Stegostoma tigrinum: one gene and its partners. The protein of the gene in region 1 purifies or fractionates together with the protein of each later gene. This does not show direct contact. Links are inferred from orthologs where the notes say so. Each region holds a gene or a part of one and is shown in the gene's direction. Other genes may lie near its edges.

Evidence for each region.
Region 2: the proteins of wrap73 (region 1) and obi1 purify together in Homo sapiens (affinity purification with mass spectrometry; 3 studies listed by BioGRID and IntAct, counting the BioPlex papers as one, with this or other methods). This does not show direct contact. The link is inferred for Stegostoma tigrinum from reciprocal best matches to the Homo sapiens genes WRAP73 and OBI1.
Region 3: the proteins of wrap73 (region 1) and ssx2ipa purify together in Homo sapiens (co-immunoprecipitation; 4 studies listed by BioGRID and IntAct, counting the BioPlex papers as one, with this or other methods). This does not show direct contact. The link is inferred for Stegostoma tigrinum from reciprocal best matches to the Homo sapiens genes WRAP73 and SSX2IP.

What each region holds. Positions count from the first base shown.
Region 1 is NC_081381.1:22,370,912-22,378,338, reverse strand, and holds the start of wrap73 (WD repeat-containing protein WRAP73), read left to right. Parts: upstream 1-4,254; 5' UTR 4,255-4,514; coding exon 4,515-4,583; intron 4,584-7,427.
Region 2 is NC_081359.1:29,298,787-29,306,968, reverse strand, and holds the start of obi1 (ORC ubiquitin ligase 1), read left to right. Parts: upstream 1-4,871; 5' UTR 4,872-4,948; coding exon 4,949-5,059; intron 5,060-8,179; coding exon 8,180-8,182. UniProt on the Homo sapiens protein: E3 ubiquitin ligase essential for DNA replication origin activation during S phase.
Region 3 is NC_081361.1:98,998,386-99,006,062, reverse strand, and holds the start of ssx2ipa (synovial sarcoma, X breakpoint 2 interacting protein a), read left to right. Parts: upstream 1-4,366; 5' UTR 4,367-4,469; coding exon 4,470-4,533; exon of another isoform or gene 4,534-4,697; intron 4,698-7,677. UniProt on the Homo sapiens protein: Belongs to an adhesion system, which plays a role in the organization of homotypic, interneuronal and heterotypic cell-cell adherens junctions (AJs).

The sequences.
Region 1 (7,427 bases):
CTTGGAATGATCCAAAGGCCAGTTGGATTTGCAATGTAAGTATTTTTGAATGATTCTAGAAAGCAAAACAGGAATAGGTCAAACGGTACTCAGCATAATTTAACATCATCAGAATAACTAATCTGGTCATTTATCATATTGTTTTTTTGTGGGCACTGCTGTGTACATTCCAGCTGCAGTCTTGCCCTACATTGCAATAGTAATAGCACTTAATTGGCTGTAAATGTGCTATGAGGCATAGAATTGTGAAAGATACTGTACTGTAAATTAATTATTTTCCAGCATTTGCCGTCACTTTGATTTTTAATAATTATTTCCTTCTTACTCACAAGCTAACTTTCCTGCTCATAAACATATGCACCCAACAAGTACCAACTGTCAGGAACATGCAAAAAATCCTATTTCTGCCAATATTTCCAAGTGCAAATTTAAAACTACAAAGCGAAAGTTTACAGCAGCATTAAGTGGAAAGAAAGTAAACCAATTCATGGCTGTGACAGTTGACATCTCCTTTAAGGGATTTTAACTTCAAAGGGAAATGATCTTCATGAAAAATGAACTTGCAAACTCATTTTCTACTATTGGAGAAGCAATGAGGCAAGATTCGCCATTATAATTTTGATCCTAACATGCATTGTGCTAAAGTATTTGCAAAAAAGGGCAACGCAGATACTTTTTAATGAAATTAGCTGCATTTTAAAAAAGCATGAACACTCAGACTGCAATTATTGGAGAAAGATATTAACTGGAGATGTGGATTAATTGCAATAACGTTTCATATTTAGCAATAGTATATATTTCATTTGTCACTGCCTTATTGCTTTCATTCGCTTATTGCTTCCATACCATGTATTAATCATCCCTGTTATGCAAGGTAAACTTATTCTTATGGAAAAGAAACAAGAAAAACAATGTCCTATATAATGCACAATAATTGGAATCATGAGCTTGCTTAGACTAGATAACCTTTTAAAAATATACATATGACATTCTAATAGGATTCACCTACTCTTGACATTAAAAAGGAATGAAATTGTTCTCTAGTATCTTCTGAAATTTAGTTATTTTTGCAACAATGATTGATCTTGATGTACTTCTGATACATATCCTCGCAAAATGCTTAACATCAATAATCACACTGTATTGACGTAGTCTAGATTCAGAGCACCACATTTCTAAATTCACAGGAAACGGCCTCAATATATTTCGGGGGAAGATTTGCAGTTTAATGTATTAAGATTTTAAACTATAATTTGTGAACGGAAGATCAAATATCGCCAAAAAAAATCAACTGAAGTGCGCTGCTCAGACTTGGACATTACAGCGTATTTAAAACGTTAACAAATAATCGGCAATTAATAATCAATAAGCAATGATTATTTAATCAGATGTTCTCTGCGGTTGAAGCAAACTAAACAAAATATACTGCGTAATTCTGGATCGAACTAAAGCCAAAATTATACAAACTCTCGAACGGCTTTAACCATTGTACATCGACTACAAGGAAGTGAAAAACGGTTTTGCTGCCGTCATCAAATATATATTGTAAAAATGTTTCACTCCACATCGGCGGGAATAATTTAAACATAAATAGTATCAAAATGCTGAATGTTATCAAGTAACCTGAAGAATCAGAATGAAATACAATGATAAGCATTTAAGAGAAATCGAGGCAACTTTCAAAGTTTATAAATACTACAGGCTGTAATAATGCTGCTTTTGAAAAACTGGAAAAGGCAAAGTGGAATATTTCATCCGGATGTATCAACATCTGCTGTAGACACCGAGTGCTAAAATTTCTCTTCCTCACCTGGAGTTAGATAAGTTGTTGAGGTCGCCGTGCGAATGAAATTCAAGCCACCGCTTTACTCCCTGCTGCTCACAGGCGAAGTGCGTGTTGCCCGGACTTCAACTTACCAACATTGTCCGATTCCAAACGTTGTAGAGAAATCAGAGCAGGCGTCTCCGTCGCTTCAGCAACCGGAGAGTGCATTGGAGATGGCTTAATGTTACCTGGGCTGGAGAAAGAGAGGGTAGAGACTGACAGCTCCGCCTGGCTGGGGGCCAGAGGCAGAGTCTCTGACTGTTTATATATATAAAGACTGATTCATTCAGAGACAAGAAAGAGAGTGGGAGAGTACCGCCTGCCAAAGGCACAACCGCCACTCCGGCTTCTCCAGGCGGGAAGAAAATACAATCAACAGGGGAGAGAAAAAGCTTAGAAAAGTAAACAACAGTCGGGGACAGGGCAATGACAAAAAAAGACTTTCAATGCGGACTTTTCTTCCCCCGAATCACAAGACAAAATAATGCAGATAAGAAACAATGCAGATCCAAATGGAATTTACAAAACCAAATGAGGAAGCATTTTATAATGTGAAATATGAATCCATCCAAGCTCTCGGCGGATTTTTAAAATCCTAGGGCAAGTTTGCAAAATAGAAGCAAACAAGCTATATTTGCGTTTACGCAGCATTATTTATCTATAATGTCTCCAAGTGCTTCACAAAATGGGTTTCTTTCGAATTGCAGCGACTGTTCTAATATAGACAAACGGAGGGCAAGCATGATGTGTCGAAAAACTCGAAGAGCGGAAATATGTTAATAACTTATCGATGTATTTTAGTGCAGTTGGTTATTGTGGTTGGAGATGAATATTGGACGGGATTTCTCTTAGCCAATCATGTCAATAAATCTAAAACTTATGTTAAAATAGAACAAGGACCTCGGTGAAATGGTTCATGTGAAGTACTGTCACCTCGACAAGTTAGCACCACCTCAACAGTTGGTCTCGCTAATAGACAAATCCTGGTCAGCAACTTAGTAAAGCAAACACAAATGTACAGATCGAGAAACGTTGAAATTTTAAGATAGCAACAGAAAACTCTCCAATAAAACGTGCAAACGAAGACTGTAAGACAAATGTCAGGAAAATAATTACATATTGGTCTTGTATAAAGTGCACACTTCAGACCAGCGTGACAGTTAGCTCCGAGGAAGTCATTTTAGACTCGAAACGTTAAATCTGCACAAATGCTGTCAGACATGTTGACTTTCTCCAGCACTTTGTTTTTATTTCATATCTTCCAGCATCCGCAATATTTTGCTTTTATGTTAGCTGTATTTACATGTATCGAAACTACCTGTCACGATGTAAATTTTTCAAATTTTCATGGTTTATGGCTGCCATTTTTTTCACCTGGCCTCCTAACACAGTACAAAGGCCTCCAGGTTTCCTGTGGGCCACATTTCAACAATACCCCTTCTCTATTAGGAAAAGTCTCATAGTTTCTTTTGTCGTTTGTACAACAATGCATTTATTGACCAAGCCCCTCAAACTGCCCCAAGAAAATGGTGGTTCTTCCAACTACTATTAGTTCTAGCTGTAACGAATTCCCACATGATGTTAGGCTGGGGATTCCATGATTTGGATCTAATAGTAATAAAGGAAGTAATATGCATTCAACTCTTTAACTAACAACATTTAGTCTGGATAAAAAAAATATGTTGATGGGAAGTGAGCACTCTGAACAAGACTTATATGAAGCTAATATGACACGTGGCTTAAAAATAAATTCATAGGGATAGCCATTCTAAGTTATTATTACTTCTCTGGGTGAGAAAACTCGTGGGCCATTGAAATAAACCGGGTAATTTACTGAAATTCATACAAGAGGTACAATCTGCAGGGCCAAATTATTCGCACAAATGTTTAAATAAAATCCTTTCGTCATAACATCATGGCTTGTGCGCTAAAATATATTTCACTCTGGAAATTTAGATTTTCTCTTTTGTTAAAGTTAATTTTTCATCTCGTTTGACAACTTTATAATTTGGCATGAATTAGATTTTTAAAAAATTAGGCTAAACAAATATTAAGGATACATTACTGTGCAAATATTGAGGATACTTTGTTGTAAAGACACAATTTTGTATAATTATATGAAGCCAAATTTGACAAGATAAAATAGCGAATTTTGAGTCACTGACTCTGATCCTCTATTGAGCAGGAAAATAATAGATACTGCAGGATGTTATTGTATTCGATCAATTTGCTATGACCACTTTTCTTCATTCCCTACCTTTGCTGAAGGAACCTCATTCCCAAATATGACAATCTCAGAAAACGGTTGATCCCGCACACCCGCCAATCATTATAAACTACATCTCCCAGAATGCTGCAGCGGCCGCTTTTTCGTTGTACCCAGATTCCATTGGTGGATATCGTTGTCAATCAAAGCGGTAACTATGTATTTCCTGTTATTTGGCTGTCTTCAGATCCCTTCAGTTGACGGTTCTCTGGAATTTGAAAATTGTTGTAGAGTTAGACGGTGACGTGGATGGTTCGGTCTAATCCAACCAAACGTGACAAGGTGAAGGAGCCGCACAGGTCGAGGACGGAGTGAGGAGGAGCCTTGTTGTGGACAGGCCGAGGACGGAGTGAGGAGGAGCCTTGTTGTGGACAGGCCGAGGACGGAGTGAGGAGGGGACCTCGTTGTGGACAGGCCGTGGTGATGAATTTCTCCGAACTGTTCAAACAGTCGAATCAACTGTGCAGGCTGTCGCCTGACGGGAAATATTCTGTAAGTGTGTGATTTAATCTTAATAGATTCGATAGGGTACACGCAGGAGAAATATTCCTGTTGACCGGGGGTCAGAACCAGGTGATGTAGCCTAACGGCAGGCCGAAAATGAGACATTTCTTCATCCGGAGACTGGTGAACTTGTGGAGTGCTCTCCAACTCGTCCACGCTGAGTTTCCCAACATAAATTAATCCCACTTGCCTGCATTTGGTTTATATCCCACTAAAGCTTTCCTATTCGTGTATCGATCCAAATATCTTCTAAATGTTCTCACTGTACTTGGATCTACCACTGCCTCTGGTAGTTCATTCCACATTCCAACCGCTCTATATGTGGAAACAGTTGGCTTTCAGGTCCCTTTTAAATCTTTTTCCTCCCACTTTTAAAATATGCCCCCCCCCTGCAACCTAGAGAAAAGAGCTTTCCTACTTGCCTTATCTGTGCTCCCTCATGATTTTATAAACCTCTATAATGTCACCCCTCAACCTCCAATGCTTGAGTTTCTTTGTAACTCAAACTGGTCAGTCCTGGTAAATCTTTTGTAAACCCTCTCCAATTTTACAATTATAGCCTATAGCAGGGTGACCAGAACTGTCCACTACATCAAAAGTGCCCTTAACCAACTTCCTGTACAACCTTAATATGACATCCCAACTCCCATACTCAGTTGTCTGAGCAGTGAAGGTAAGTGGGCTAAAAGCTGCCACGACTACCCAGTCTACCGGTGATGCAATTTCCAAAGAACTATGTGCCTGAACCCTAGAGCTCTCTGTTCAACAGTGCTATCCAGGGCCTTAACAATAACTGTGTAAGTCCTGCCCTTGTTTATCTTACAAAAGCGCAATAACCTCTCATTTATCCAAATTAAACTCTATTTGCCTGTCAGCCCATTGACCCAGCTGAAGACGGAGTTAGATATATTTTGGGGCTAAAGGGATCAAAGGCTTTTGGGAGAAAGCAGGAGCAGGGTACTGAGTTGGATAATTGTGTTGAATGGCAGAGCAAGCTCGAAGGGCTGAATAGTCAATTTCTGCTCCTATTTTCCATGTTTCTATCAAGTCAGTAACTAGTTGTTGATAGCTGACCACTTTGCTTCCCTTTTGTATCCTTATTGTCTGTTTTCTTCCAGTTTGGCCCATGTAATGTCTCTCTCAGTCCTTGCGTAGTATTTTGTTTATTACATTAGTTTTATTGGTTGTGGGTATGGGATCCTTTACTTTTGTCTGTTGCTGTCGCAGGGCAGTTGTTCGTTTGTGGGCTACCCCGATACCTAGGGATCTGAGTAATTTTGTGGTCATCTCTGATATGTCTCTGATGTATGGTTGGGTGACTAGTGTGTCTGTCTATGTTATGTGTTGTTGTGGTCTGTTGCAGGTAACGGCAGATTGTGCTTTTTGGTTATCCATTCCTTTTTTAAAAACTGTATAAGTGCTGCTGTTCTGCATTGTGCAATTCCGGATTGCACCATTACCTCCTAGGAAGGGCTATTGTTCTCTTCTATTTTTGTGAATTTTATTTCAGTGATGTTGTTGTTTATGTGCCGGTGGGTTTCTTCTAGTCTTGTGCATATGATAATCACGAAGGTGTCATCTACATAGCGGACCCAGATTTGCGTTGTATAATGGGGAGCCTTGTCCATTCTAACCTTTGCATTATCACTTCTGCGATCAGTTCCCCAATCTCAATGTAGATGACATGCAGGGACTAAGGAACATGGGCCAAACTGAAATTAAGGATACACGAACACCAACTACCCACCAAGAGACATGACCAATTCTCACTGATCTCAAAACACACAGACAAAGGAGGACACAAATTCTACTGGGACAACACCTCCATAATAGCACAAGTCGGACAGAAACATGTTTGGGAATTCCTGGAGGCCTGGCATTCCAACTAGAACTCCATCAACAAACATTTTGAACTGAACCCCATATACAAACTACTGAAAAACAGAGCTGGAAGTAATGCCAACCACCCCAGCAAACCAAGGTATATAAATGTCAACAAGCTTGACAGAACACCAATGCTTCATTGGAGGCACACTGACAGTGTTACCTAGCAAGGTAAAATGCCGGAGGAATCCGGCTTTGAATGCATAGGGGAAAGTACAAAATATCAAATTGAAGAGCAAGAGTAGGTCATCTGACTGTTTTGATCTCGAAGTTGAATCCAGAAGGCAGAAAAGAGCACCTCATTTGCGGATTAGGCATTTTGAAATCATCTGACTCCAACATTGAGTGAGTTCAATAATTTGAGACCATTAATTCCTGTCCTCTATTTTATTATGTTTCCCACAACCCAGTGGCAATCTTTCATGACATGGCTTTTGGTCAGAGCTGATCTTTATTCTGCTATTAAACAGGCTCAGAAAACACAGACCCCAGTGCTGCTCCTATCCTGGGACTCTGATCTGAGTGCAGTAAAGCCGTGGGCACCAGTTATTGGCCCTGATATTGGGATCTGTTCCAGACCCATGCTTTGATCTGTCTTTTGGTTTCTCAACTCCATTATTCTCTAACCCTTTTGTGACCTTATCCTTCCGTTTCACTTGCTTGCTGTCTCCCCACCGAGCCCCCCTCCTTTTCAACAGTATAAATTCTGTCACATTTCCACTACTTCTCTTCAGTTTTGAAGAAAAATTGAAACGGATTTTAAATGTTAAGCCTGTTTCTCTTTCCACAGATGCTGCCAGACCTCCTGAGTTTCTCCTGCACTTTGTATATTTTAACATGGGTTTTTAAAAAAATGTTATCTCATTGAAGTTTGTGAAACCTTACATAACATTGATACCAAGAAGCATATGGAACAGTAAACCTTGGAATGCATGTCCACCAATCACC
Region 2 (8,182 bases), on another chromosome or scaffold:
ATCCAGACAGGATATACCCAAGGTTACTACGGGAAGCAAGGGAAGAGATTGCTGCCCCTTTGGTGAAGATCTTTGCATCCTCACTGTCTACTCGATTAGTACAAGATGATTGGAGGTTGGCAAATGTCATTCCCTTGTTCAAGAAAGGGAATACCAATAATCCTGGGAATTAGGACCAGTCAGTCTTACTTCTGTGGTGGGCAAATTATTGGAGAGGATTCTGAGATAGTATTTATGATTATTTGGGAAAGTACAATTTGATTAGAAATAGTCAGCATGGCTTTGTGAGGGGCAGTTCATGCCTCACAAGCCTTACTAAATTTTTTGAGGTTGTGACAAAACATATTGATGAAGGCAGAGCAGTGGATGTGATGTATATGGATTTTAGCAGGGCATTTGATAAGTTTCTCCATGGTAGGCTCATTCAGAAAGTAAGGAGGCATGGGATTTAGGGAAATTTGGTTGTCTGGACACAAAACCAGGTGTCCAATAGAAGACAGAGGGTGGTAGTAGATGGAAAGTATCCAGCCTGATGCTTGGTGACCAGTGGTGTTGCGCAGGGATTTGTTGTGGGACCTCTGCTCTTTGTGATCTTCTTAAATAACTTGGATGAGGAAGTGGAGGGTGCATTAGTAAGTTTGCCGATGACAAGAAGGTTGGTGGAGTTGTGGATGGCGTGGAGGGCTGTTGTAGGTTGCAATGGGACATTGGAAGGATGCAGAGCTGGGCAAAGAAATGGTAGATGGAATTCAACCCAGAAGTGTAAAGTGATTCGTTTGGAAGGTCAAATTTGAATGCAGAATACAGGGTTAATGACAGGATTCTTGACAGTGTGGAGGAACAGAAAGATCTTGGGGTCCACTTCCACAGGTCCGTCAGATTTGCTTCCCAAGTTGATACGGTTGTAAAGAAGGCGCATGGTGTGTTGTCTTTCATTGGCAGGGGAATTGAGTTTAAGAGCCGTGAGGTTATGCTGCAGCTCTATAAAACCCTGGTTAGACCACATTTGGAATATTGTGTTCAATAGGAAGGATGTGGGAGCTTTAGAGAGGGTGCAGAGGAGATTTACCAGGATGCTGCTTGGACTGAAGGGCAGGTCTTACGAGAAAATGTTGAGGGAGCTAGGGGTTTTTTCACTGGAGCGAAGAAGGATGAGAGGTGACTTGATAGAGGTGTACAAGATGATAAGGCATAGATAGAGTGGATAGCCAGAGACTTTTTCCCAGGGCGGAAACGACTATTATGAGGGGCCATAATTTTAAGATGATTGGAGGAATGTACAGTGGAGATGTCAGAGGTAGGTTCTTTACACAGAGAGTGGTGGGTGTGTGGAATGCGCTGCCAGCAGTGCTAGTACAGTCAGATACTTTACAGACTTTTAAGCGACTCTTGGATAGGCACATGGAATATAGTAAAATGTAGGGTATGCAGGGTAGATTTATCTTAGTAGGATAATAGGTCAGCACAACATTGTGGGCCGAAGGGCCTGCACTGTTCTGTGTTCTATGAAACTATTTGACAACTATCCATAATTATACAGAATATATTTTAATTCATCACTTGTTCTATTAAATGAATATTGCTAATTATTTAAAAATAACCAGTCTCACAACCCTAATTGTAAACCTTTTTTTTCCAGGTAGCTTTGGAACATATAAATCTGCTGATGCATACATCAGTGATTGAACATCAATTGTTAGGAAACTTCTGGAAAAGGTTCTGAGGCACAGAATTTATCACCAGGGCAAATTGGACGTCAAGTTGTCTTAGTGGTGGAAAGCAGAGGGTGCTGGTTGAAGATATTTTTTGGGAGATGCAGGAAGGATGCTCCCTGTGACAGTTCATAACCAAGGGTCACAGATGAGAGGTTGAGAGGAGATCATACAGATGTTTATAAATCAGGAGGGGTATAGATGAAGTGAATGGCAGGTGTCTTTTCCCTAGGGTGGGAGATTTCAAGACAAGGGCACATACTTTTAAGGTGAGAAGAGAAAGATTTAAACATGACATGAGGGGTAATTTTTTTTACACAGAGAGTGGTTCATGTGTGGAATGAAAGTTTAGAGGAAGTGGCTGATGTAGTACAGTTACAACGTTTAAAATAAATTTAGATAAGTACATGAACAAGAAATGTTTAGATGGGATATGGGCCAAGCACAGGCTGGTGGCTAGATTAGTTTGGGATTATGGCCGGCAAGGAAGTGTTGGACCAAATGGTTTGCTTTCATGCTGTCTGACTCTATAGCTCTATGACTGGAGGCCTGTATCCAGTGGTGTATTACAAGGTTCAATGCTGGGCCCTTTGTTTTTAATGGATGTTAATGATTTGGGCAGAAGTAAAGGAGATTTTATCAGTAAGTTTGTAGATGAACTAAAATTGGTAGCGTGGTAAATAGTGAATGGGAAAGAGTTGGGCTACAGGAAAATACAGACAAGCTGAACAGATAGGTGAAACAAAAGCAGAAAGAGTTTAAGCCTAAAAGGCATGAAGTGATGTGTTTTGGGAGGACTGACAAGGCAAGAATGTACATAATGAATGGTTGGATCCTGTGTGGTGTGAAGGATCAGCGGGACCTTGGAGTACCTGTATACAGATCTTAGAAGGCAACTGGACAAATGATTAAGAAGGGTGATTTAGAAGACATACGGAGTATTCACCTTTATTAATCAAGGCGTGAAATACAAGACCTGGGATGGAATGATGGAGCTGTATGGGAAGTTAGCTAAGAAACAACTGGAATACTGCATGTAGTTCTGGTGACCACTTTTTGGAAAAAATGTGATTGCTCTGGAGATGATGCAGAACAAATTCACCAGGATGGTTGACTGGGCTGGTGTGTTCCAGCTGTAAAGAGAGACTACACAGGCTGGGGTTATTTTACGAGGAGCACAGAAGGCTGAGGGGAATTGATTGAGGACTACAAAATCAGGAGCAGCATACATAGTTATGTTAGAAATAGCTCTCCTTAGTGGAGGGGGCACAGATTTAAGGCAGGGGGCAGGAAGTTCAGAGAGGATTCATGGAATTCTTTTTCCACACAGTGTAGTGGATATCAGGAACTCATTGCATGAAAGCATCGTATGAATCATTACAACATTTAAGAAGTATTTAGATGAATACTGGAAACACCACAGTTTAATGGGCTATGGAACAAATACTGAGAAACAGGATTAGAAAAGTAGATCCTTAAAGGCTGGCGTGGACTCAGTGGGCTGATCTGCCTCTTTCCATGCTGTAATACTCTGTGACTTGACTTAGCCAAAGTACGTGTCACTGAATCAACACTACTAAAACATCTGACCCAATATTTGTAATACTTAGCCTATGCAAAGAACAACTTAGTTTCTCACAATAACATTAATTCATATCTGCTATTTGCATCTCTTGCCCAATGTGAAGAGTACTCCCAGCATCCCCACAACAGTCAATCTAATCTAAATTTGTATCTTTCTTTAGAACCGTAAAAACATTTAGTCCCTAAATCATTCTTGTCACAAATCATCATTGTAGTGTTTGCTTTACTGTGATGGTAGACTCACTGGAGCCCAGTGCATCCAAACTATAATTCCTTGTTCTTACTTACAGCTATAACACAGCATTTGACACTTCAAAAATGCCAACTTGAAGATTTTCCTTTCTACAACATATCCAATTTATCATTATAAAGGAGACTTTCATCTCTTAGCTGATGTACAGTACAATTTGATAATTTAATCCTTATCAACTACACAAATGTGCAAATGAGGTGAAGTCCAACAATATTTTCACTGCACATTCCCAACCCCTTCCTAATATAATTCTTCTCTCACTGAACTACAACTGCAGTTGTTTGTTAAACTCGCAGAAAGCGGTCAGAGAAAATTCTACACTGACTTTCAAAATGCCAAAACAGTCATGACAGGCAGGCTTCTTCTATCTTATGATTATTTATAATCCATCAAATAAAGCACCAGCTTTATTTGTAACATCCCTGCTTTCCACCCATATCACACTTTGTTCTTTCTTACTCTTTGATTTCCATCTTTTCCCTATAGCTCTGCCCTTATTTAAAAGATTTTTTTTCATTTCTGGATAAGAACAGGCCTGTTGAACCATTTCATTAGATCAGGGTTGAATGGACAAGCTTGAACTGTTAAAGATAACAAAGTGTGGGGCTGATGAACCCAGCAGGCCAAGCGCCAAGCAGCATCTTAGGGTCCTAAGATGCTGCTTGGCCTGCTGTGTTCATCCAGCCTCACACTTTGTTATCTTGGATTCTCCAGCATCTGCAGTTCCCATCATCCTTGAACAAATAAAGTCATGCCTCATGTTTTGACTAACCTATCAGAGGAAATCAGTTTCTTTAATCATCTTAAACAGCTCAATTAGTTCAGCCTTAATTTTCTAAATTCAAAGTAACAAAGGCATAGTGTACAGAATCTGTCCTAATTTAAACATTTTAGCCCTATTATCAGTTCAGTTTACGTGCTCTGCAGCCTGAAGGCCAATTTCAGAGCTGAATACAGTACTCCAGCCCTGTACCTTATTTTTCCACTTTGTTAACTTCTTGAGCTAAAATAAACCAATATCGCGATAATAAAATTAATTTCTGATGAAGGGGACCTGTGATATTGGTCTACATTAGTGAAATTGGCCTTATGATTCTCGAATAGCAATTGCAATTTATTTTCTCTACATACAGCTTGCAGCCTATCTTTGCTGTTGTCATTCTCTGGAGGGATTTCTGCAGCACAGCCAGTGTTTAAAGTTGAGTTCATACATTTTTGTTTCGGACGCACTCCAACCTAGTTAGCCTGCCTCGGGTTACAGAAAAGGGGGAAGTTGCAGGAAAGACAGTATTTTACTGTAGCAAACTGGGTTGACAGGGCGGAGCCAAGATTGGCGCGAGCGCAAGTGAGAGTTGGAAGGTTGTCCTGGGGGCGGGGGCCCCCCGTTTTGCTGGGTCGCATGCTCCGGGCCGGGATTCCAGAGACAATGCAGAAACCAGCGCTACAGAACATTCAGAATGTTACACTGAGCCTCACCCTGCCCATCTCATGTCAGATCTGCTTGGGGAAGGTACTGTACGGCCGCGGGGGTGTGGGGGGAGGTGGTGTAAAGAGTGCAAGGAGGCGGAGAGGCTCTTCCTGTATTGCAACCGCTCCAGTCGGGAAAAGATGCATGTTTTCTCTCTTTTTCCATTGCAGTGTTTTTTTAATAAACAAAACATATATTTCTTTTCGAAGTGAATCCACCATCCCCGTCCCCTGCTGATTGCAGCTTAGAAAATTAATGGTGTCGAAAATTGGGACGAGAAACCGGAAACTTTTGTTTTACTCTTTGTTTTAAGAACCCAGTTCATTTCTTTAAATCGTTGCAAACTTTGTGAACCTTTGTGCGCTGCTGTAAAATTCAGAAAGGAAAGGAACGGAAATCGGTGGACACTCTCTTTTTCAGGTTTAAATTATCACTTCCGCATTATTTTGTCGTTTGGTCAAAACGTGTTGTTGAATGGCAACCGGATCCTTGAACAACTCTGTCAGAAAATTCATGTCAATGAACACTTCCAGAAACTGTTACGTTGTGCTTTTTTCCCCCAGTAATTTTTAAAGCATTTTGTATATTTTTAATTCGACTCGACATTTGCCATACATAACTCGAAGTCACTTTCAAACCATTCCACAATGAAGAAAGTAGTTTTATTTCCAGTATGTACTATTTCCCTGTCAACTCTAATCGTGGCGTAGCCATGTGTGACAGCAAACAGAAAGGATCTTGATTGTAGCCCAATGGGGATGATCCGGTTCCGTAGGCCACCCTCCTGCAAAAATTCCATCCCCTATTCCCAATTCCTCCGCCTCCGCATCTGCTCCCATGATGAGGCATTCCACTCCCGCACATCCCAGATGTCCAAGTTCTTCAAGGACCGCAGCTTTCCCCCACAGTGGTCGAGAACGCCCTTGACCGCGTCTCCCGCATTTCCCGCAACACATTCCTCACACCCCGCCCCCGCCACAACCGCCCTAAGAGGATCCCCCTCGTTCTCACACACCACACCACCAACCTCTGGATACAACGCATCATCCTCCGACACTTCCGCCATCTACAATCCGACCCCACCACCCGAGACATTTTTCCATCCCCACCCCTGTCTGCTTTCCGGAGAGACCACTCTCTCCGTGACTCTCTTGTTTGCTCCACACTGCCCTCCAACCCCACCACACCCGGCACCTTCCCCTGCAACCGCAGGAAATGCTACACTGGCCCCCACACCTCCTCCCTCACCCCTATCCCAGGCCCCAAGATGACTTTCCATATTAAGCAGAGGTTCAACTGCACATCTGCCAGTGTGGTATACTGTATCCATTGTACACAGTGTGGCTTCCTCTACATTGGGGAAACCAAGCAGAGGCTTGGGGACCGCTTTGCAGAACACCTCCGCTCGGTTCGCAGTAAACAACTGCACCTCCCAGTCGCGAACCATTTCCACTCCCCCTCCCATTCTTTAGATGACATGTCCATCATGGGCCTCCTGCAGTGCCACAATGATGCCACCCGAAAGTTGCAGGAACAGCAACTCATATTCCGCTTGGGAACCCTGCAGCCCAATGGTATCAATGTGGACTTCACCAGCTTCAAAATCTCCCCTACCCCCACTGCGTCCCAAAACCAGCCCAGTTCGTCCCCTCCCCCCACTGCACCACACAACCAGCCCAGCTCTTCACCTCCACCCACTGCATCCCAAAACCAGTCCAACCTGTGTCTGCCTCCCTAACCTGTTCTTCCTCTCACCCATCCCTTCCTCCCACCCCAAGCCGCACCTCCATCTCCTACCTACTAACCTCATCCCACCTCCTTGACCTGTCCATCTTCCCTGGACTGACCTATCCCCTCCCTACCTCTCCACCTATCTTCTTTTCTCTCCATCTTCGGTCCACCTCCCCCTCTCTCCCTATTTATTCCAGATCTTTCTCCCCATCCCCCTCTCTGATGAAGGGTCAAAGCCCGAAACATCAGCTTTTGTGCTCCTGAGATGCTGCTGGGCCTGCTGTGTTCATCCAGCCTCACATTATTTTGAATGTACTTGCAAGATATTGCTCTTTTGTGCTTATTGAAGACTATTTGCGTGAGTACAAAAAAAGTTCAAAAATAAATACTTGCATCTATCAACCTTTATCAGTCTCATGACCTCTTTGCCATTTTACCTCCAATGTGACAATGTTGAAATGTGATCATTGTAATGTAGGAAACACAGGGGTCAATTTGCACAAAGTTAGCTTTCACAACCATCAATGATATAGTGACCAGATAGTTTGATTTAAGTATCATCATAGGAGTGAATAGTGGCCAGAGTCAGAAAATCAGTTTATATTCACTGAGAGAGCACCTGGGACCTCTGCTTAAATTGCATCCCAAGGTCATCCCCTCCACAGCGCAGAGTTTTAATACATTGAAGTGCTGACCTAGGTTATTTGCTCGAGTTTGGACTGGGACTGGAATACAAGAACTTTGCTCGAGCAAGACACAAATCAGCTCTGTGATCAACTTTAATTTCTATCATTATGACGAAAAGTTTGAGAAGTTTACTTACTGGTTACACGTGAGCAGAGGTAATGTCAATCTCTTGATTACAGTATTATGACTTTCTGGATGTTGCTTTGTAAGTAGTTGCAGTTTGTTTTTGGAGTTATAACTCTCACCAGTTCATCATTTTATCTTATAGAAATCTATAAAATTCTAACAGGAATAGACAAGCTAAATGCAGGAAAGATGTTCCCAATGACTGTTGAGTCCAGAATGAGGAGGTCACAGTCTAAGGATACAAGGTAGGCCATTTAGGACTTAGAGAGAAATTTCTTCACCTAGAGGTTAGGGAGCCTGTGGAATTTTCTGCAACAGAAAGCAGCAGAGGCCAAAACATTGAATGTTTTCAAGAAGGAATTAGATGTAGTTCTTAGGGCTAAAGTGATCAAAGGGGAGGGGAGAAAATAGGAACAGGGTACTGAGTTAGATGAATAGCTGTGATCATATTGAATGGCAGAGAAGTTTCAAAGGGCCAATAGCTTACTTCTATTTTCTACGTTCCTATCATGACACTGTTAGCAGACTTAAATATCAGATGTGATATGGTTTGTTTAACACAACTCAGTTGTGTGAATGTGTTAACTTCAATTAATACTCGTTTTGCAAACGCTTTAGGTT
Region 3 (7,677 bases), on another chromosome or scaffold:
GCCTAAAAAATATTTTAAAAGTATTTAAATGATTATTTGAAGTGCCATCGCATTCAAGGTTATGGATCAAGTGCTATAAAATGGAACTAGAGTAGATAGGTACTTGATTGATTGATTTATTGTCACATGTACCAGAGTACAGTGAAAGGTTTTGTTAACAAGCAGTACAGATGTTGCACGGGCTGACGAGTCCCTTCCCATGTAGCAAAATTCTTCTCACTTCAGGAAGTATCACTCAGGGTTCGGAATCAGTGTAGGCAATCTAGGTCCAGATGCAAGGACAACTGCATGAGGACAGAGTGAAGATTTGTTAAGAATTGGACTCTACTAGTCCTAAGAACTAGAAGCAGGAGTGGGCAACTCAACTTCTTGAGCCTGCTCTGTCCTTTAAAACAATCATGGCTGATCATAGCTTGGACCCAACACCACCGCTCCCTATAACCTGGAACTAATTAAGAATCTACCTGCTTCCTCAAGGAACTGTCTCAGGAACTGAATAATTACTTTGTGTCAGTCTCCATGGTGGAAGTCACAAGTAATATCTCAAAAATTCAAGAGAGTCGGGGCAGAGCTGGGTGTGGTGGCCATCACCATGGAAAAGATGCTACTAAAACTGATTGGCCTGAAGATGGACAAGTTCCCTGGACCAGATGGGCTGTACCCCAGAGTTCTCAAGGAGATAGTGGAAGCGTTAGTGGTGAATTTTCAGGAATCACTAGAGTCAGGGAGGGTTTTAGAGAACTGGAAAATCACTAACGTGACATCCCTGTTTAAGAAGGGAGTAAGGCAAAAGATGGAAAATCCAGGCCAATTAGCCTAACCTTGGTCGCGGGCAAGATTTTGGAGTCCGTTGTGAAGGATGAGATTTCTGAATATTTGTAAGTGTACGGTAAAGTAGGACATAGTCAGAATGATTTCATCATGGGGAGGTCATGCCTGACAAATCTGCTAGAATTCCTTAAGGAAGTAACGAGCAGGGTAGAGCAAGGAGAGCCAATGGATGTTATCTACCTGGGCTTCAAGAATGCCTTTTGATAAGGTGCTACACAGGAGACTGCTGAGTCAGATAAGGGCCCACAGTGTTAGAGGCAGCATGCTAACATGGATAGAAGATTGGCAGTCTGGCAGAAAGCAGAGAGTAGGGATAAAGGGGTCTTTCTCAGGATGGCAATGGTGATGAGTGGAGTTCCACAAGGCTTGGTGTTGGGACCATAACTCTTCACTTTGTACATTAATGATCTAGATGAAGGAACTGCGGGCATTCTGGCTACGTTTGCACACAATACAAAGATAGGTGAAGGGACAGGTAGTACTGAGGAGGTGGCGAGGCTGCAGGAAGACTTGGACAGGTCAAGAGTGGGAAAAGAACTGCCAGATGGAGTACAATGTGGGAAAGTCTGAGATCATGCACTTTGGTAAGAAGAACAAAAGCATGTACTATTTCCTAAATGGGGAGAAAATTCAGAAGTCTGAAGTGCAAAAAGACTTGGGAGTTCTAGTCCGGTGTTCTCGCAAGGTAAACTTGCAGGTTGAGTCAGTAGCAGGAACGCAAATGCAATGTTGGCATTTATTTTGAGAGGACTTGAATATAAAAGCAGGGATGCACTACCAAAGCTTTATAAGGCTCTGGGCAGACCACATTTGGAGTATTGCATGCAGTTTTGGGCCTCATGTCTCAGGAAGGATGTACTGGCCGTGGACAGGGTTCAGAGGAGGTTACTGAGAATGGTCCCAGGAATGGAAAGCTTAACATATGAGGAACATTTGAGGACTCTGGGGCTATACTCACTGGAGTTTAGAAGGATGAGGGGGAGTCTAATTGAAACTTTCAAAATACTGAATGACCTGGACAAACTGGATGTTGGGAAGATGTTTCCATTGGTAGGACCCGAGGGCACAGCCTTAGAGTAAAGAGAAGGCCTTTTAGAATGGAGATAAGGAGAAACTTCTTCAGCCAAGGAGTGGTGAATTTATGGAATTCCCTGCCACAAAAGGCCGTGGACGCCAGGTCATTGAGTACATTTAAGACTGGGATAGATAGGTTATTGATTATCAAAGGGATCAAGGGTTGTTGGAAGAAAGCTGGAGAATGGGGTTGAGGAACTTATCAGCCATGATTGAATGGCACAGCAGACTTGAGGGGCCAAATGGCCTAATTCCACACCTATGTCTTATGGTCTTATTTGCTCAGTTTCTCAGCAACCTGCTGTACTGAATTCCACAGATTCATGACTCTTTGAGAGAAGTAATTTCTTCTCATCTCTGTTTAAATATACCTTACCTTATCCTAAAACCGTGACCCTTTGTTCTACGATAACAAGGTGTAGAGCTGGATGAACACAGCAGGCCAAGCAACATCAGAGGAGCAGGAAAGCTGACATTTCAGGCCTAGGCACTTCTTCATTTTCTGAAGAAGGGTCTAGGCCCGAAATGTCAGCTTTCCTGCTCCTCTGATGCGGTTTGACCTGTGTTCGTCCAGCTCTACGCCTTATTATCTCAGATTCTCCAACATCTGCAGTTCCTACTATCCCTGAAACCCTTTGTTCTTTATTGTCCCACAAGGGGAAACATCCTGTCTACGTATACTTTGTCAATTTCCTTAAGCATCTTATGTCCTAAAAATGGATCTTCTCTCATTCCCCTCAGCTCTAAGCCATAAAGGCTGAAACCTCTCAAATTCTCCTCTTAAAGCAAGCTTTTTAATCGCTGGATAAAAACCAAACAAACTGTGGATGCTGTAAATCAGGAACAAAAACAGACGTTGCTGGGAAAAGCTCACCAGGTCTGACAGTATCTGTGAAGGAAGAATAAGTTAGGATTCAGTCGTGAGAAAGGGACATTAACTCTGATTATTTTCTTCACAGATGCTGCCAGACCTGCTGAGCTTTCCCAGCAACTTCTGCATTTGTGTTCATCGCTGGAATTAATCAAGGGAACCTAAACTTTCTTAGCAACAAATGTAAAATCTTACAAATAGTTCCTAACATCTATTACAGAGGTACTTAGAAAATCTTTTCTGAATGGTCTCATCCTAATTCTCAGACTATGCACCCCATGTTCAACAATGCCCAACCAGGATCCCACCTTCCACCTCTGGAAAAACTAATGAACCCAACTTCTTCCCTGAAATTAAGGTAGTGAGCGTAACATTTAATCTCAGTTATTAACGGAGTGAAACATGCAACGGAAATTGCTGTTCCCTTCGGTTTGGCATTCTCGCTATGCTGCCCTGAGGCTAGGCAAAAACTGGCACAAGCTCTAGACCACATGACCAGCGGCAAAGTCGCGGGGACAGATGACTACTGGATGTGAGTTTGCTCGCTGAGCTGGAAGGTTAGTTTTCAGACGTTTCGTCACCATTCTAGGTAACATCATCAGTGAGCCTCCGACGAAGCGCTGGTGTTATGTCCCACTTTCTATTTATCTGGTTAGGTTTCCTTGGGTTGGTGATGTCATTTCCTGTGTTGGTGATGTCATTTCCCATTCTTTTTCTCAGGGGATGGTAGATTTGCTCCAAATCAATGTGTTTGTTGATGGAGTTCCGGTTGGAATGCTATGCTTCTAGGAATTCTCGTGCGTGTCTCTGTTTGGCTTGTCCTAGGATGGATGTGTTGTCCCAATCAAAGTGGTGTCCTTCCTTATCTGTATGTAAGGATACGAGTGATAGTGGGCCATGTCGTTTTGTGGCTAGTTGATGTTCATGTATCCTGGTGGCTACCAGCGCTTCATCGGAGGCTCACTGATGATGTTACCTAGAATGATGACGAAACGTCTGAAAACTAACCTTCCAGCTCAGCGAGCAAACTCACTACCTTAATTTCAGGGAAGAAGTTGAGTTCATTAGTTTTTCCAGAGGTGGAAGGTGGGATCCTGGTTGGGCATTGTTGAACATGGGGGACATAGTCTGAGAATTAGGATGAGACCATTCAGAAAAGATTTTCTAAGTACCTCTGTAGAACCTCAACCTGAGCTACAAATCTTCTCAAAACTCACCAACAGATGACTACCACCAGCTAAGCCAATCATCGTTGGGTTTACTCCTCGACGTGCCGACTGCCGGTCTTGACCAATTGGCTTCCGCTTTGGATGAAGGCGCCGGCGTCGACCTGCTTCAAATAAAACCGTGAGAGAGGGAGGGAAAGACTGTAACGTTCGCATGACTTCAAATGCAGTCGCAATGTGGTGATAGAGTCACCGGCGCTGGAGTCGATGAGGAGGAGCCAACTGCCTGAGGCCAGAGATGTCGGACTGATGTAAGGGCAGTTGTTGAAAGGGGCGGGGAGGCGAACCACAACAGTCGCCGCCGTTGGCGGTTATTTGAGTACGGTCCTGGGCTAGGCCCGGTTACCATGGTTTCCGAGTGAGACGCGCACGCAACCGTCACTGGGTTCCAGTGCGCATGTGCTTACCCGGGCCCGGCTGCAACTCGTGACGCTTGCGCAGTACCGGGCCCGGTCTGCGGCACTGCGATGTTACTTCTTGTGCAAGTTACGCTGCTCGCTCATTCATCCAGGGGCACCAGCACTGCAAAAGGTTATTGTTTGTTTAAGAAAACAGTATATATTTTGGCTCTCCTCGCTGTATTGATCGTCAGTCAATGTGCAAATTGTTAAAACTGGCTGTGAAATTGAAACATTTTTCTTTCCTCCTTTCCCGCCCCGCCCCTTCACTGGAGAATTATTGCCTTGTTTAAACAGGTAACGAACTTTTTTGCCGTTTAATTATTGTGTATTTCCGTGTTCCGAATTTCTGGGCTTGAGGTGGAGGTGTGGTTCTCATTGCAACAAGTGCTTTCATACCTAGATGATACGTTTGTGTAGATTGAGACCGAAAAGACGGGTCGTGACCACAGCGAATATGCCCAATAGGGAATTCAGCAGAATCCCGGGAGTGGTGTAACCCTGGAACTCCGGATCGTATGCGGCGAATTTATAGAAAAATTAGAAACGCAGTTGAGAATCAACCAAGTGAGAGAAAAGTGCAGAAGGAAATAAAAAAAGAATTAGAGCTTCGAGCCTACGAACACTACCATAAACCAGTTTGATTGAAAAAAACATTGAATTCGTATTGAAACGTAACTTTTTTTTTAAAGGGACCTTCTCGCTGGTCGTACTGTATTTTAAGTACAGGTCTAGCTGTCAGTTGCTATACCTAACTCCAGTGAGGTAACGAGCTTATAATTAAATATTCTGGGGTTTTGTAATCAGTGCGACTTCACGAATAAATTTAGAAACTGCAAAAAAAAACAGCAAGCCATTGTAGCTGGTGCAGTTTACATAATTATATGCTTGGCACGCCAGTAGCCCAGTTTTGAAATACATTTGGGTGGTGCAGAAAATTACTGGATGAAAAAATACTTACATTTAGAATTATGTTCTGCATTTTTGAGTTGTGAAAAATTCAGTTTCTTGTCACTGTTGTCTAACTCCGCTATTTGTTCAAACCTTTATACTCTGTCAGATCCCTCCCTAATTGGTTTTTTTAAAAAAACAAGGTCTTACAACAAATGAGCAAATTCTGTCCTGTTTGGTGAAGTCATAGTTAAACGTTTTGCTTTGAATTTTTTTCCCCATCTATACCTAATTAAAAATAATAAGGTGTGAAGCTGGATGAACACAGCAGACCGAGCAGGAAAGTTTTTTTTTGCTGTTTTGGGTCAAGATCCTTCTTCAGAAATGGGGGAAGGGGATTCTGAAATAAATAGGGAGAGGGGGGAGGCGGAGATGGATAAAGGAGAAGATAGGGTGAGAGGAGACGGACAAGTCAAAGAGGTGGGCTTAGAGCCAGTGAAGGTGAATGTAGGTGGGGAGTTAGGGAGGGGATAGGTCGATCCAGGGAGGATGGACAGGTCAAAGGGGCGGGATGAAGTTAGTAGGTAGGAGATGGGGTGGGGCTTCAGGTGGGAGGAAGGATGGGTTAGGGAGGTGTGGACAAGCTTGACTGATTTTGGGACGAGGTAACAGGAAGGAAGATTTTGAAGCTTGAATATTTATATGTTGGGTTTTCAAAATTGTAACAACACATAGGATTGTATTTGTAAATACGACTGTTTGTAAATCAGGGAATTCTTTAGCGAGTTTTGAGAAGATTTGGAGCTCACGTTAAGGTTCTGGGTGTGAGTTCACTCGCTGAGCTGGAAGGTTCGTTTTCAGACGTTTCGTCACCATTCTAGGTAACATCATCAGTGAGCCTCCGACGAAGCGCTGGTGTTATGTCCTGCTTTCTATTTATCTGTTTAGGTTTCCTTGGGTTGGTGATGTCATTTCCTGTTCTTTTTCTCAGAGGATGGTAGATGGGCTCCAAATCAATGCGTTTGTTGATGGAGTTCTGGTTGGAATGCCATGCTTCTAGGAATTCTCGTGCGTGTCTCTGTTTGGCTTGTTCTAGGATGGATGTGTTGTCCCAATCAAAGTGGTGTCCTTCCTCATCTGTATGTAAGGATACTAGTGATAGTGGGTCATGTCTTTTTGTGGCTAGTTGATGTTCATGTATCCTGATGGTTAGCTTTCTGCCTGTTTGTCCAATGTAGTGTTTGTCACAGTTCTCGCAAGGTATTTTGTAGATGATGTTCGTTTTGTTGTCTGTACAGGGTCTTTTAAGTTCATTAGCTGCTGTTTTAGTGTGTTGGTGGGTTTGTGGGCTACCCTGATGCCAAGAGGTCCGAGTAGTCTGGCAGTCATTCTGGCAGGGAATTCTTTCTTTTTATTTAGAATGACATGTTCTGGACCCAACCTCAGGACAGGCAATACTAGACCTAGTGTTGTTCAATGTGATGGGATTAATTTGGAGTGCGCTTGTCGCTCGGGAGCAGTAAAAATCAGAATTTTATATCCTATTTTGAAGAGGTGGCTGTGTCCAATACTATTTCAAAGTTGATTAAGACACAAAAGTAGATATTAACTGACAAGCTTGTTTTTTTTAAACTCACTTATGGGATGTGGATATCAATTTCTTTTTTTTTGCCCATTCTTTGATAGTGGTGATGAGCTACATTCTTGAACCATGTATTGCATGTGCTGTAGGTAGATAAAGGATATGTTAATGGATGCGGTGACAGAAATTAGATATATTTCAAAATACCGAGATTAGTTCCAAAAAAGAAATTCCAAATGGAGGACTGGTCGCCCATGTCTAACTTAAAAGCAGTTAATAATAGTATCAACCCGAAAGGAAAAAGCTGGGTGGCAAGGCAGAAGATTAGACACACTGTACATTACAGCAAAGAACGGCTAAAAGATTAAAGAGGGAGTATAAGTGAAGCCAGGTGGGAATATAAAAGACAGTAAGAGTTAACAGACTAAGAATTGATCTCTGGAAAGTGAGTTTGGAGCATTAATGAGATGGATGAATTGAATGGGTAGTTTACATTGGTGTTAGCTATAGAAGATAGTAGTGACATCCCAGGAATAGTTGTAAATCCAGAAATGGAGTGGAGGGAGGAACTCCCAAAAAAAATTGCAAGCAGGGCAGTACTACTTAGCAAGTTGTTGGAGTTGCATCTGACCAGTCCTGTTGAACATCATCCTATATTCCTAAAGGAAGCGGTTTAATGAGAAAGTTAGTGTCTGTTTTAATCTTCCAAAACCCAGTTGATTTAGGATAGTTCCAGTAGATTGGAAGATTGCAAACATTTTGCAACAAGAGATGGAGGCAGAAAGTTCAAAAGTTCTTAGGCCA